Ovis aries: one gene and its partners. The protein of the gene in region 1 purifies or fractionates together with the protein of each later gene. This does not show direct contact. Links are inferred from orthologs where the notes say so. Each region holds a gene or a part of one and is shown in the gene's direction. Other genes may lie near its edges.

Region 1 (3,640 bases):
GCAAATCTTTAGCGTTTAGAAATGACAGTTTTTAAAGGGGCATTATCAATACCCACAGAAAGATGGTTTTCAATTTGTTTAATTCGGCAACTAATTATTAAATGAGATGCTTAATTTAGACAGGGTTAGGCATTGAGATGTAGCTATAAACAGATAATAGTGATCTCTGCCTTCATTTATAATGAGGGAAGAAAGTCATCACACATTTCCTTAGAAGTGTGATGAATATTACAAAAAGGGAAGTCAAGTATACTTGTTGTGGAAGTATTTGGCAAGAGGATTTAACTTAGTCTGTGGGGTCAAGGACGGAGGAGCCTGGTAGGCTGCAGTCCATGGGGTCGCTAGGAGTCGTACATGACTGAGCGACTTCACTTTCGCTCAGTAAAAAATACTCCACACAGTAATGTCAGCCTGGTTTTCATGAAATGCCAATCAGATCAGATCAGATCACTACCTCTTTCAATGGATTTTCACTGTCCTTAGAATTAAGTCTAGAATTTTTTACGGTGGCTTCTAAGACCCTCTATGATCTAGACTCTGCATGTTTATCTTTTGGTTCTTACCTTACCTCATTCCCAGCAGCCCGCAACTATACCAGAATGCTTCAGTTACCTTAACGCCCTGCTCCTCGCAGTATGTTTCTGAGTATACTCTTCCTATAAGAGTACTATTACTGTAACATAGTAAATGCACAGCTTCAGTTTACTAATTTCTATTTCATCCATCAAGTGTTGGCTTAAACAGAACCTCCTCAGTAAACTGCCTTGTCCCCACTGCTGCTGCTACTGCTGTTAAGTCGCTTCAGTTGTGTCCAACTCTGTGCAACCCCAGAGATGGCAGCCCACCAGGCTCCCCAGTCCCTGGGATTCTCCAGGCAAGAACACTGGAGTGGGTTGTCATTTCCTTCTCCAATGCATGAAAGTGAAAAGTTGGTTCAGTCGCTAAGTCATGTGGAATATTATTGGGGAAGAATGAGAATGGGGTAATTAATTATAGGTGGTGATCATTCATGGGTAAGAACATCTTAACTGGAGAGAAGCCAAATATGATCTCTCCTGATGGGATTCCACAGTACTACATTTGAAGTATCTGCCACCCAAAATACTGAATGAACATCAATCTGATCGAGCCTCTGTAGCTACAGGGAAATAATTAGCAAAATCCAGATTGTGGTAAATTACAGGACAGAGAATCTGGTGTGGATATATTTTTCCAGGAAAAGAAAACAGAAAAAAGAGAGGTACAGAAGGATTTTATAGATGAAAAGAGGAAGAGTTTTCACAAGAGTGCATGGAGAAATGCTCTTGAAGTGGCATTGGAAAGAAAAGGGACTAGTGACTCCACCTCCTTATTTTAAGTCCATGGAGAGAGTTTGAGAGCAAAGGCTTTCTTTGCAGGAGAGTTGGATTTCAATTAAAACAGGAGTTGCTGTTGAGATTATTCATTGAAGTTTGCAAATCATGGAGTAAGATTTAGGATGGAGGAAGGGAGTCAGAAGTTCAGAGAATTTTTGTGGGAGGGAGTTTAAATTTTGAATAGTAAGTCAATGAATTCAGCTGGTTCCTGGTGGTTTGGTGAGCAATCAGGGAACTGAGAATTCAGCTGTTTTCTCTGGGGAGCAAATACAATAATCTGATATTAAGTGGCAAGCTTGCAAGCCTTTTAAGTCTAGTCTAGTGAGCTGAAGTGGAACCAGCTACTCTTCATTGCTCAAGTAGTGAAGACCAAGTGGATGGTTATAAGGAAAGGCGCTCTGGAGGTTTGGGGCCATGTTGCTGCAGAATACTGATTAGGTTAAACTTCCTGTGTTCACTTTTGCCTGTAAATAGTAACTGTATAAGGCAGAGGTAAGTTGGAATGAACTAGTACTCTCAATAAAGGATAACCATGATAATCTTGATCATATGTGTCCCTAAAGCAGTGAAAACCACTTATTCAATAAAATCGCCATAGAAAAAAGCAGAAAACTAAAAGTTTTTTTAAACTGACTTTAATTTTTTTCCCCCAGGCAAAAATTGTACAGATTTTGTAAATACTGTGAATGTTTCACATTGAAATACACAGTATATATGGCAAAGCTTAAGAACCATATCACATTGTTAATTTCCGAGAGTCAAGGAAATCAGTTGTGATTTGCTACAATATTGTTTCTTGGACGTTTTCTTTACTGTGTGCTTTGAAATTGGCTCTCATCTTTCTTTTTTCCTTATTTTTAGTTTCTGAAGCCACTAATGATTCGACAATGGATGATGTGGTTGAAAACCATGTTGCAGACCAACTGTCATCAGATACTACACCAAATGCTATGGAAGCTGAATTTTCAGGATCTTCTCCAGCCAACTTACTGGAACGACCAACCAATCATACAGAGGCTCTTGGTCACGACCACTTAGGAACTAATGACCTCACTGTTGGTGGATTTTTAGAAAATCACGAGGAGCCCAGAGATAAAGAACAGTGTCCTGAAGAGAATATACCAGCATCTTCACTCAACAAAGGAAAGAAATTGATGCATTGCAGAAGCCATGAAGAGGTCAACACTGAACTAAAAGCACAAATAATGAAAGAGATCCGAAAGCCAGGAAGAAGTATGTATAATGAGAGACAGACAGCAGATTTCATTTTTGTATATGCTTTAAGAAAAAAGTCAAATTAACTAAAGCATAGATCTGATTTTAGAACAGTCTTAAGAACAACATATCAGCTGTATAAGATCCCATTCTTTATTCAGCCAACACTTAGCGAGTATCTGCTATATCCAAAGTACTGTGTTAGGTGTGGTAAATAAGGAGGGATGAGAGTAGAATAGGGGAATACACAGATAAAAATTAAACATGGTTCCTCCCATGACAGGAACTGATAGTCTTGAACATTCTACCAACCAGCAACTGGAAGTTTAAGGTAACAGAAAAAACCCCCAAAGATGCAGTGAATATTAAATGACTTACATTTGTAAAGTTCTTGGCACAGTACCTACCCACCATCTTAACTTTTGAGATTTAAACTGTAGTAGTGACAGGGATGCGTTTAGGCCGAAAAATGAAAATTATGAAGCTGTCTGTTACATGAGTAGAGAAGAACTTCGTGAGATAAAGTTTCAATATTCTTATTGATATACATTCAGAAGATTTGGACAGATCACCTGCTATGATGGTGCCCATGGGTGGTCCAGAAGTGGGTAAGACTCAGTACTGGTCATTTTAGGAGCTTATAGTCCTTGACAGAGGACTATTAAGTTTTATGTGAAAACTTGAAATTGAGACAGCACTCTTTTTTTCCTCTATTTTATCCACCCCCTATGTTAGCTGTAACTTAGAGTTTGTTATAAGGTTGAATTTTTGTAAAGGCCACTTCTTATTTTTCAGTGGCACTACCACTGTTTACTCATTCTTCTAAGCTGTATGTTTTGATACATACGTGAGTTCCCTAATGAGAACTTCTACCAAGAAAAGGCAGTGTTTGACAAGTTATTTTATCTTTGTTGATATCTGATAAAATGTATGTATTATAAAATCTCTAATGAATGGTGAAATTTTTAGGTAAACTATTTTTGGTTTTGTCTTAATCTTGATGTGTAGTAAACTGTAATAGAAAAATATTGAATAAGTGTGCAAAGTAACACCACTTTTCTTTTTGCTTC
Region 2 (4,371 bases), on another chromosome or scaffold:
CGGGAAGTCCAAGGTCAAGGTGCCAGCTGACTTGATTCTTGGCGCTTTCTTCCTGACACACACGGCCACCTTCTCCCTGCATTCTCGCACAACAGAGAGAGCATGCCAGTGTGCTCTGCGCTCTTCCTGGTTTTGTTAGAGCACTAATCTCCTGAGAGTTCTATCCTCAGGGCCTCGTAAAGACCCCCTTTCCAAGTATCCTCACGTGAGAAGTTGGGGCTTCACCATTTTGGTGCATGCAGCATCCAACAGCCATCTGTCTTCTGCGCTGCGGTCTCCTACCTGAGTGGACTGAATGACGATGGGAGTAACGGCTAGTGGGAATTTCCTGTCTCACGCACGTTCCTCTGGGCCCTTTCTGCACCTGATTCTTTTATCTTGACATCCTGTCAAGTTGCCTGCAGTAGCTATCATATTTTGTTCCATTCCCTCTTTTATCCTATATAGCATCCATCTCACACTCAACAGACAACCTTCTTAATTTACTGAGATGATACAGGCTTTAGTGCAAGGGCCCCCTTAATGCTCTTCTCTGTCTCAGATGTCACTCCTTGCTAAAGCAAACGCCTCTGTCCCCTCTGATGATTCTTTCTCTGCCCCCTACATGTTGTTCCCTGCCAAGTTCTATTTTAGGACTTCTCTGTATAATCTGCTGCCACCTGGGAATTCCCTGGCAGTCCAATGATTAGGACTTTACTTCATTTCAGGGGACATGGATGTGGCACAACCAAAAGCAAAAAAAAGACCCATCAGACCTCTTTGCAGGCTGTTTAAGACACTGCCTACTATGCACCTACATGTGCCCTTCCCATAGAATTTAAATTATCTGTAGGTTTCTTATAGTACCTAACACAATGTTTAATGCTATGGTAAATAGTTGTAAATGCTATATAAATAGTGCAGCAAATTTGTTTTATTTTTGGAACTTTATGGAATTTTATCTTCAATTGGTTGGATTCAAAAACCCTTGCATATGGAGGACCAACTGTACTTTTCTTCTTCCATAAATTTACACACTTCATTCTTTTAAAAAACGTTACAGTATTCCTGTGTTTGTATATTTAACCAGGTCTCTGTCAATGGGCATCTTTTATTTATCTTTTGCCAGAAACTGCTGCAGTGAACTGGAGAAGGAAATGGCAACCCACTCCAGTGTTCTTGCCTGAGAATCCCAGGGGCGGCGGAGCCTGGTGGGCTGCCTAGTCTATGGGGTCGCACAGAGTCGGACACGGCTGAAGCGACTTAGCAGCAGCAGCAGCTGCAGTGAACGTCCCTGTACATGTTTGCTTACACCTGCAAATGTTTCTGCAGTATGGATTCTTAGAAGTGTTACTGTGGAATCAAGGGCGTGTGCATGCTTTGCCAAATCGCCCTCTGAATGGTTGAACGTGGTGCCTCTTCAAGAAGGTGGGAGGGGTGGGTGGAAAACTTCAGGCCTCCGAGCAGCAGGCGGCGCTGTGAGCGCCCGTCCGCGCCAGTGGCGAGGCCCCGCTGACGGACTTCCGCTGGAGGAGTTGGCGCAGGCCCGGCAGAGCTGACAACAGAGGTCGAGCGAGCGGTGGGGCGCGATGCCGTACGCCAACCAGCCCACAGTGCGGATCACGGAGCTCACCGACGAGAATGTCAAGTTCATCATCGAGAACACGGACCTGGCGTAAGACTGCTGGGGGAGAGGTTGGCGGTTCTGGAGAGCCGGGGTCCCAGCCTGCGGGACGTCGTGTCTTTTCAAAACTGGCTTCCGCTTTGGGCGCGGTGGGGCGCGAGCCCGGCCTGTCGAGGTTGCGGTGCCCACACGCCGCTTGGTTTTCATTCCTCAGGGTGGCAAATTCTATCCGGAGGGTCTTCATCGCTGAGGTGCCCATAATAGGTAAGCGACCCCAGTCTCGTTGCCAGGGCTACCAGGCCTCTCTCCCCCCACCCCACTCCTCCCCTTGCCTTGCAGCTCCTGCCCCCAGCCTTGGTTTGGGCGAGGGATTGGGGGCGCTAAGAGGACAGTCGTGCTGGAGACTTGATCGGGCCCTTTGCCCTTGGCCCAGGCCCACTCTGGCCACCTCTCTGGCTCCCACGGGCTATTTAGTTCCATTCTTTTCCGTGCGTTGGTGACGCTCATGGGCTCAGGAGTCTGTGGACTGGGACTCAAACTGTTTTCACTTACTATCGCTGCGAAACTTGGGCAAGCTATTAAACTCTGTTGCAGTCCCCTCTCTAATGTTCGGACGCTAATAGCAGTTGTCAGGGCGACGTTAACGATTAAGGGGAATAATCTCTGTGCCTTGTGTTCAGTGAGTCTCCATTGCCCGGTAATGTGAATCTGTTCCGTCAGCTGCATCTCGGGAGCATATAAGCTCCAGGCAGTGGTGCTAGGCACTGGAAACGCAGAGCTGTGAAGTACAGGGTTCTCTAGGAGTTCATCTTCAGTTGCTCAGTTGTGTTCGACTCTTTGCGACCCCATTGGCTGTAGGCTCCTCTGTCCATGGGATTCTCCAGGCAAGAATACTGGAGTGGGCAGCCATTTCCTTCTCTAGGGGATCTTCCCAATCCAGGGATCAGACCCGCTTCTCCTGCATTTGCAGGCAGATTCTTCTAGGGTTTAAGGAGAACCGTAGCTGCAGTGGGTTTGACGCTTCAAGGAGAAAGGATCTGTTTCTGCTTTTGTTCCAGCCACTCTTCACTGGGTGTTCTGCCTGTCTACAGATATACTACAAATATTTTCCGAGTGTTAACTCTGAGTTTGGTTTAGGAAAAAGAGATGTAAGCCATAGTTACCGCATCAAGTGTGCAAATTCCTAAGGAGATGAACGGGCCAGTTGGTTGGTAAGCAGAGGACATTGTAGTTTTTCCACCATTACCACCCCCCGGAGACTTTTTCAACTCAGAGCTTGGAGTGCTGGTTCTCCTTCTCTGCCTAATCACCCCGTGGGGTCTCAGGACCTTAGTTTCATCATGAGTAAAGTGAGGCAGTTGTGCTTTAGGGTGCAGCCCTGACATTCAAGCGCCACTTTTCCCATGTAGCATGAAGCACCTCTTGCAATCCAGACCCCAGCTAGGAATACAGAAATTAAGACATCTGAAGACCCAAAGAAATTTTGAAGCTTGAGGTGGAAGCAAGATGCACACAGATATAACGCAATTTGACAAGTGTCTTAAGAGAAGTGTGGACAGAGTTCCAGGAGAGAGTAGCTTCCTCCCGGGAGAGAGTATTCATCTCTGTATCACAGAGGGTGGGCAAGGCCTGGTTTATAGGAAGCTCACAGGATTTTAAATCCTGCACAGGAGAGGTTAAAGGCACGCCAGTGGGAGGAAAGGCAGAGACAGAAAAGCTTGGCTCTTAGTCCTTGCTTGGCTCAGGTTTAGGAAGCAGAAGGACAAGCAGGTGGGGGTCTGGTCGTGTCTGGTCCTCTGTTCCTAGTGTCTGTGCCCCTCATTGAACAGTTGGTCTCACTGCCTTTTGACTTCTGAATTTAATTGTTTATGTACACATATTTATGAATGAATGAGTAAATGTGTTTAAATCAACTATGTGTGACACTGCAGTTCTCCTCCTCGCTCATGGCTGGTAGGGATTAGTATGCCCTACCCATTAAAGGAATTGGGTAAACATGATTTGGTTGAATGATAATAAAGTATTAATTTGGGTAATCTAGTCATTATATCACAAAAGGAGATGTGGGCCATAAGTCTATGTTACTTCTCTGAGGTTTGTCCAACTTTCAAGTGCCCAAATAGCTTGTGTTCTTACTGGTGTTGGCATGAGTAGCAGATTTAAGTGCTTCCCACAGAAATACTCCGCTCTGAGAAACACGCTCCCATTCTCGTGGTATCTTTAGGTCAGTGTTTTTGGGGTAATACAGGGAACTGTCTGCATCATAACTGCCTGAGCAGGGAAGTGCGGTGCAGTGTGTGTGGTTCTTATTAAAATGCAGCTTCTGGGCCCCACTCCAGAGCTGTGGAATCAGTCTCTGGCAGCCTGACTCGGCCTCTGCAATTTAGTAAGCACTAGATGATTTGGAGGGGCTCAGATGCTAAAGAATCTGCCTCAGTGCAGGAAGCCCCTAGGGTTCAATCCCTGGATCGGGAAGATTCTCTGAGAAGAGCATGGTAATCCACTCCAGAATTCTTGCCTGGAGAATCCCATGGACAGAGGAGCCTGGCAGGCTGCAGTGCATGGGATTGCAAAGAGTCAGACATGACTGAGCAACAAACACTTTCAGATGATTTTTAAATCTGGAAAATTTGGTGGCTAATCTGCCTGTCTGCTTTTTCTGCTTCCTTCATTCTTTAGCAATTGACTGGGTTCAGATTGATGCCAATTCCTCCGTCCTTCATGACGAGTTCATTGCTCACAGACTTGGTGAGTGCTGGGTTTGGAGA
Region 3 (4,145 bases), on another chromosome or scaffold:
CTGATGGGCCCTGGGGACTAGGCTGTGTCTCATCTCATTGTCCAGGACAAGCTCTCACCCTTTGGGCACAGGGGTTCCTGGGCCCTCAATGCTGGAAGGCTTGTAAGAGCCTGCATGAGAGGAGGCCATTTGAGCTGTGGTGAGAGCCCAGCCAAGAGAGCACATGTGGGTCCCTTCCATACCATGGGCAAGTCATGCACTGACCTAAGATCTTGTCCCACAGCTTTAGGGAAAATGGGCCAGCACACCCTGCCCTGCCCATCACCCAGGTTGCTGGGAGCCTCTGATGGGGCCCAGTGGGTGCTGAGGCCCTGCAGGCCCTCTGCCTTTGCCACATGCCTGGCACTAGGTGGAGGGCCCGGTGGTGAGCTCACTCCATCTTCAGGTGTGGGGGACAGCAGTGCCTGGCCTCAGGAAGAAGACAATGGGAGGCTTCCAGCATACTCCTCCCCTCTCTCAGGGCCTCAGTGTCCTGTCCACCAGACAGATGGCCTTTGAGGCCCTCAGGGCTACCTTCCTGGTCACCAGCCATCCTATGGGCCTGGCCTTCCTGCCTGGAACCTGAGCCAGCAGTCAACGGGAGGTGCCAGCAGCCTTTCAGAGCTTGGAAACAACAGGAAGGGCAGTGGCGGCGCAGCGGGGTCGGGCAGGCTGCCAGCTCCGGGGAGGTGATGCAGGGAATCGCCAAGGCTCCCCCAAGGGCAGCCCATGGCCCCAAGGTCAGGGCTCATCCTGAAACTGACGGCAAGCTGAAGGTCCCTAGGAAAAGAGGGCTGCCCTCCGGCACCCCAGGCCCAGCGGGTGGGAGCGGGGAAATCCCGGAAATCTCGCCTGAGAAGGGGGCTCCAGGTGGCGCCAGGCTGGGACCCAGGACTCGGGTAGGGTGGGGCCCCTGTCCTGCGCGGGTCCTGCTCCAGCTAAGTCCCTAGGGAGGGGACAGGGGCTCGGGGTCCGGGCCAGCGCTGGAGCCGGGTCCTCGGCCGCCTCCTCCCACGCCTGGGGGCTCCCGCTCCGACCCCTCGGCAAGGCCCAGGCCCAGCTCGGTTGGGCTGGGATTCCCCGCGCCGCCTTGAGCCCGTCGCGCCCCACTCACCTGCGCCTCCGCTGCTCACCTGTGCCGCCACAGCAGCCACGGGGCGGGCTGCCCGGGCGTCGGCCACAGCCCTACCGCCCCGTCGCCCGGGACTGGCTGCTGGCCGCCCAATCAGAAAGCACGTTGCGCGGGCCAGCGTTTCCGTCCGGCACGCCGGAAGTTGGGGCCGTTGGGAATGCGCCTGCGCCGTGCATAGCCGCGAGTCAGGCGCGCGTGGCCGGGACCGGGTCGCGGGCCCCGGGGTCTCGTGGGACCGGGCTGATCCTGCCCGCTCGCTTGGCTTGCCCAGCAGGATGCCCGAGATCAGGGTCACGCCCCTGGGTGAGTGCTGGGCGGCGCAAGGAGCGCCCGAGGAAGGCTGGTAGGGGGCTCGGAGGTCCGGGGACCCCGGGACGCGTCTTCCTCGCCGCGCGGCCCCCCGCCCAGCACCAGTGCTTAGTGCACCTTCCTCCTGCCTCTGCGTTCGCGCACTCGCTGCCTTCCACCTGTTCCATATGTCTCGAGCCCCGCTTCCCTGCAGCCTCCGTTTACCCGTGGGCCGTTCACCCCACGTCAGTCAGACTTTCTTTTGCTTGACCGGCGCAGCGTTAAAAACAAAAACCAACGTCTCTCCCGCCCCCAGCTTGCCCTTTGCGGAAGATATAAGTGCATAGTTTAAAAACAGTACAGCAGTGCGAAGGAGGTACAGCAGGTCACTCAGAATGGGAACAGCCGGGGTCTCTGTGCACAGGTGCCAGGGGCTTTCCGGAAACCTGCCCCCCTGCCACGGCCATATATCCGCAGCGTCTTCTAGCAGGGTTGTTCCCCGCAGCTCTACATGCTCTCTTCTATGGTGCATTCTCAGAATAGCCCACCCAGCCTCCCGCTGCAGTGGTCTTCCCCTGGCCGTCCAGGGCACAGCACGCATCCCGCCCCGCCATAGGTGTCCTCACACCTCTCCTACCTGTTGACTCCGGTTCCCCTCTGGTTGCTTCAGCTCCATGCTCTCCTCACACCTGGTTCCTCTCCAGGGGCCTCTGCAGGGTTCTTCCAGCCTGTTTCCCACTGTGGCATCTTTCTCACCACTCACTTTTGCCAGCCTTTTTCCCCTATGACATCTTTCTCACCGCGCACCCTTGAACAGTCCTGTCTTTTTACTGCTTCTTTTACCCCAAATCCTCACTGGGCAGTGGGAGAGAGGGGGGCATGGCTGTCCCTCCGACTGGTCCTCCCATACAGGGGCTGGCCAGGATGTGGGCCGAAGCTGCATTTTGGTGTCCATTGCGGGCAAGAACGTCATGCTGGACTGCGGGATGCACATGGGCTTCAGCGACGATGTGAGTCTCAAGGGTGGGCGGCCTGGCATCCAGCCTGCACCTCGGCGTCATCACCGAGGGACCTGGGCCTCGGAGTCGCAGGCTTTGACTATGGAGGAGGAACGGGGGCAAGTGGGCACTGGTAGGAGGGCAGCCCCCACCGTCACCCAACAAGTGGAGCACTTGGGTCAGACTGTACTGGAGCCAGGGCACGGCTGTGGGGTCTCAGCTCTCAGGTACTGGCTCAGCAGCCTGACTTCTGCCCTACATGCTCAGGGGTTCTGAGCAGTCGGTGGCCTCAGTGGGCCTGCAGGGTGTGGGTGTCAGGCTCAACTGCATCCTGACCCAGGGGCCATCCCCACAGCCCTGGCTGCCCCACAGTCACCTGAGCCCTGGGCAGGCGGCATCCTGACACTTTTGCTTCTCCCCCCACAGAGGCGCTTCCCCGACTTTTCCTACATCACCCGCAGTGGCCGACTGACCGACTTTCTGGACTGTGTGATCATCAGGTGGGCGCCTTCCCCACCCACAGACCCAGCCACCCACCCAAGTGGCATACTGGTTCTTGTTGCCCTGAGCCCCTTCCTGTTCCTTCCTGGAATGTGAAGCTGACCCCATAGTAACTGCCTGCTGGTGGCATCGCTAGACACTTGGGCCTGAGTCCCTTTTGCCCTCTCCCTCTCCCATGTTCAGGGCCATGTCTGACACATAGCAGGCCCTCAGTGAGCAGAGGAATGGGGGTAGGGTTGCTGGGTGGAGGGTTGGGGGGCATCCAGCTGACTGGTGCTGCGCCTGCAGCCACTTCCACCTGGACCACTGCGGGGCACTCCCCTACTTCAGTGAGATGGTGGGCTACGATGGGCCCATCTACATGACCCAGCCCACCCAGGCCATCTGCCCCATCCTGCTGGAGGACTACCGCAAGATCGCCGTGGACAAGAAGGGCGAGGCCAACTTCTTCACGTCCCAGATGATCAAGGACTGCATGAAGAAAGTGGTGGCTGTCCACCTCCACCAGACGGTGCAGGTCAGCTCCCCACCCCCGCCCCCAACTCACTCTGCTGCCATCCCAGGGACCCTTGGAGGCAGAAGGTGAGCGTGGGGCCCAGCTCAGATCCAGTACTGAGCAGGGCTCCTGCCACTCCCTGGCTCTGCCTGAGTGTGTGGAAGATGCCAAAGAGGGCCAGTGTGCCATCTGAGTACACGGGAGCAGGCCGGGCAGGTCAGAGACCAGAGTGTGGGCTCATTGCAGTGGACTGACTCAGGGTGGAGGGGTAAGACTTGAGGCAGGCGAGTGACATCAAATGTAAAATTTATCACAAGGATCATGGATTTGTCTGTTTCTTCTCAAGAGTCTAGGTTTTGCTTTTTTTCATGAGTCTGACATTTGGGGTCATCTTATTTTTCAGATTGAACCCTTTGTTGAGTTGAATCATTCATTGAGTTGTATCCTCAGTAATGCTTTATCTTCGAGTCTGCCTTTCTGGCGAAAGTTCGCCCCTCCCACACCTTGAATCCTTGCCCTTCTTAGTACTTTTATCCTTTCTGCAGCGTGTTTTATTTTTGTTTTTTGGCTGCACTGTGTAGCATGTGGTATCTTAGTTTCTTGACCAAGGATCAAACCTGCTGCCCTTGCAGTGGAAGTGCAGAGTCTTAACCACTGGACCACTAGGGAAGTCCCTCTGCATCATATTTTAAATGTGACTCTTTTCCACGGCTTGGCTTTAATACAACCTGATGGCCTATCCTATAGGAGA

What was found.
Region 2: the proteins of INTS6 (region 1) and POLR2C purify together in Homo sapiens (affinity purification with mass spectrometry; 3 studies listed by BioGRID and IntAct, with this or other methods). This does not show direct contact. The link is inferred for Ovis aries from reciprocal best matches to the Homo sapiens genes INTS6 and POLR2C.
Region 3: the proteins of INTS6 (region 1) and INTS11 purify together in Homo sapiens (affinity purification with mass spectrometry; 3 studies listed by BioGRID, with this or other methods). This does not show direct contact. The link is inferred for Ovis aries from reciprocal best matches to the Homo sapiens genes INTS6 and INTS11.

Annotation. Positions count from the first base shown.
Region 1 is NC_056063.1:21,145,088-21,148,727, reverse strand, and holds part of INTS6 (integrator complex subunit 6), read left to right. Parts: intron 1-2,216; coding exon 2,217-2,588; intron 2,589-3,640. UniProt on the Homo sapiens protein: Component of the integrator complex, a multiprotein complex that terminates RNA polymerase II (Pol II) transcription in the promoter-proximal region of genes.
Region 2 is NC_056067.1:25,049,257-25,053,627, forward strand, and holds the start of POLR2C (DNA-directed RNA polymerase II subunit RPB3), read left to right. Parts: upstream 1-1,530; 5' UTR 1,531-1,568; coding exon 1,569-1,654; intron 1,655-1,817; coding exon 1,818-1,867; intron 1,868-4,282; coding exon 4,283-4,351; intron 4,352-4,371. UniProt on the Homo sapiens protein: Core component of RNA polymerase II (Pol II), a DNA-dependent RNA polymerase which synthesizes mRNA precursors and many functional non-coding RNAs using the four ribonucleoside triphosphates as substrates.
Region 3 is NC_056065.1:50,520,783-50,524,927, forward strand, and holds the start of INTS11 (integrator complex subunit 11), read left to right. Parts: upstream 1-1,264; 5' UTR 1,265-1,386; coding exon 1,387-1,414; intron 1,415-2,311; coding exon 2,312-2,409; intron 2,410-2,823; coding exon 2,824-2,897; intron 2,898-3,186; coding exon 3,187-3,415; intron 3,416-4,145.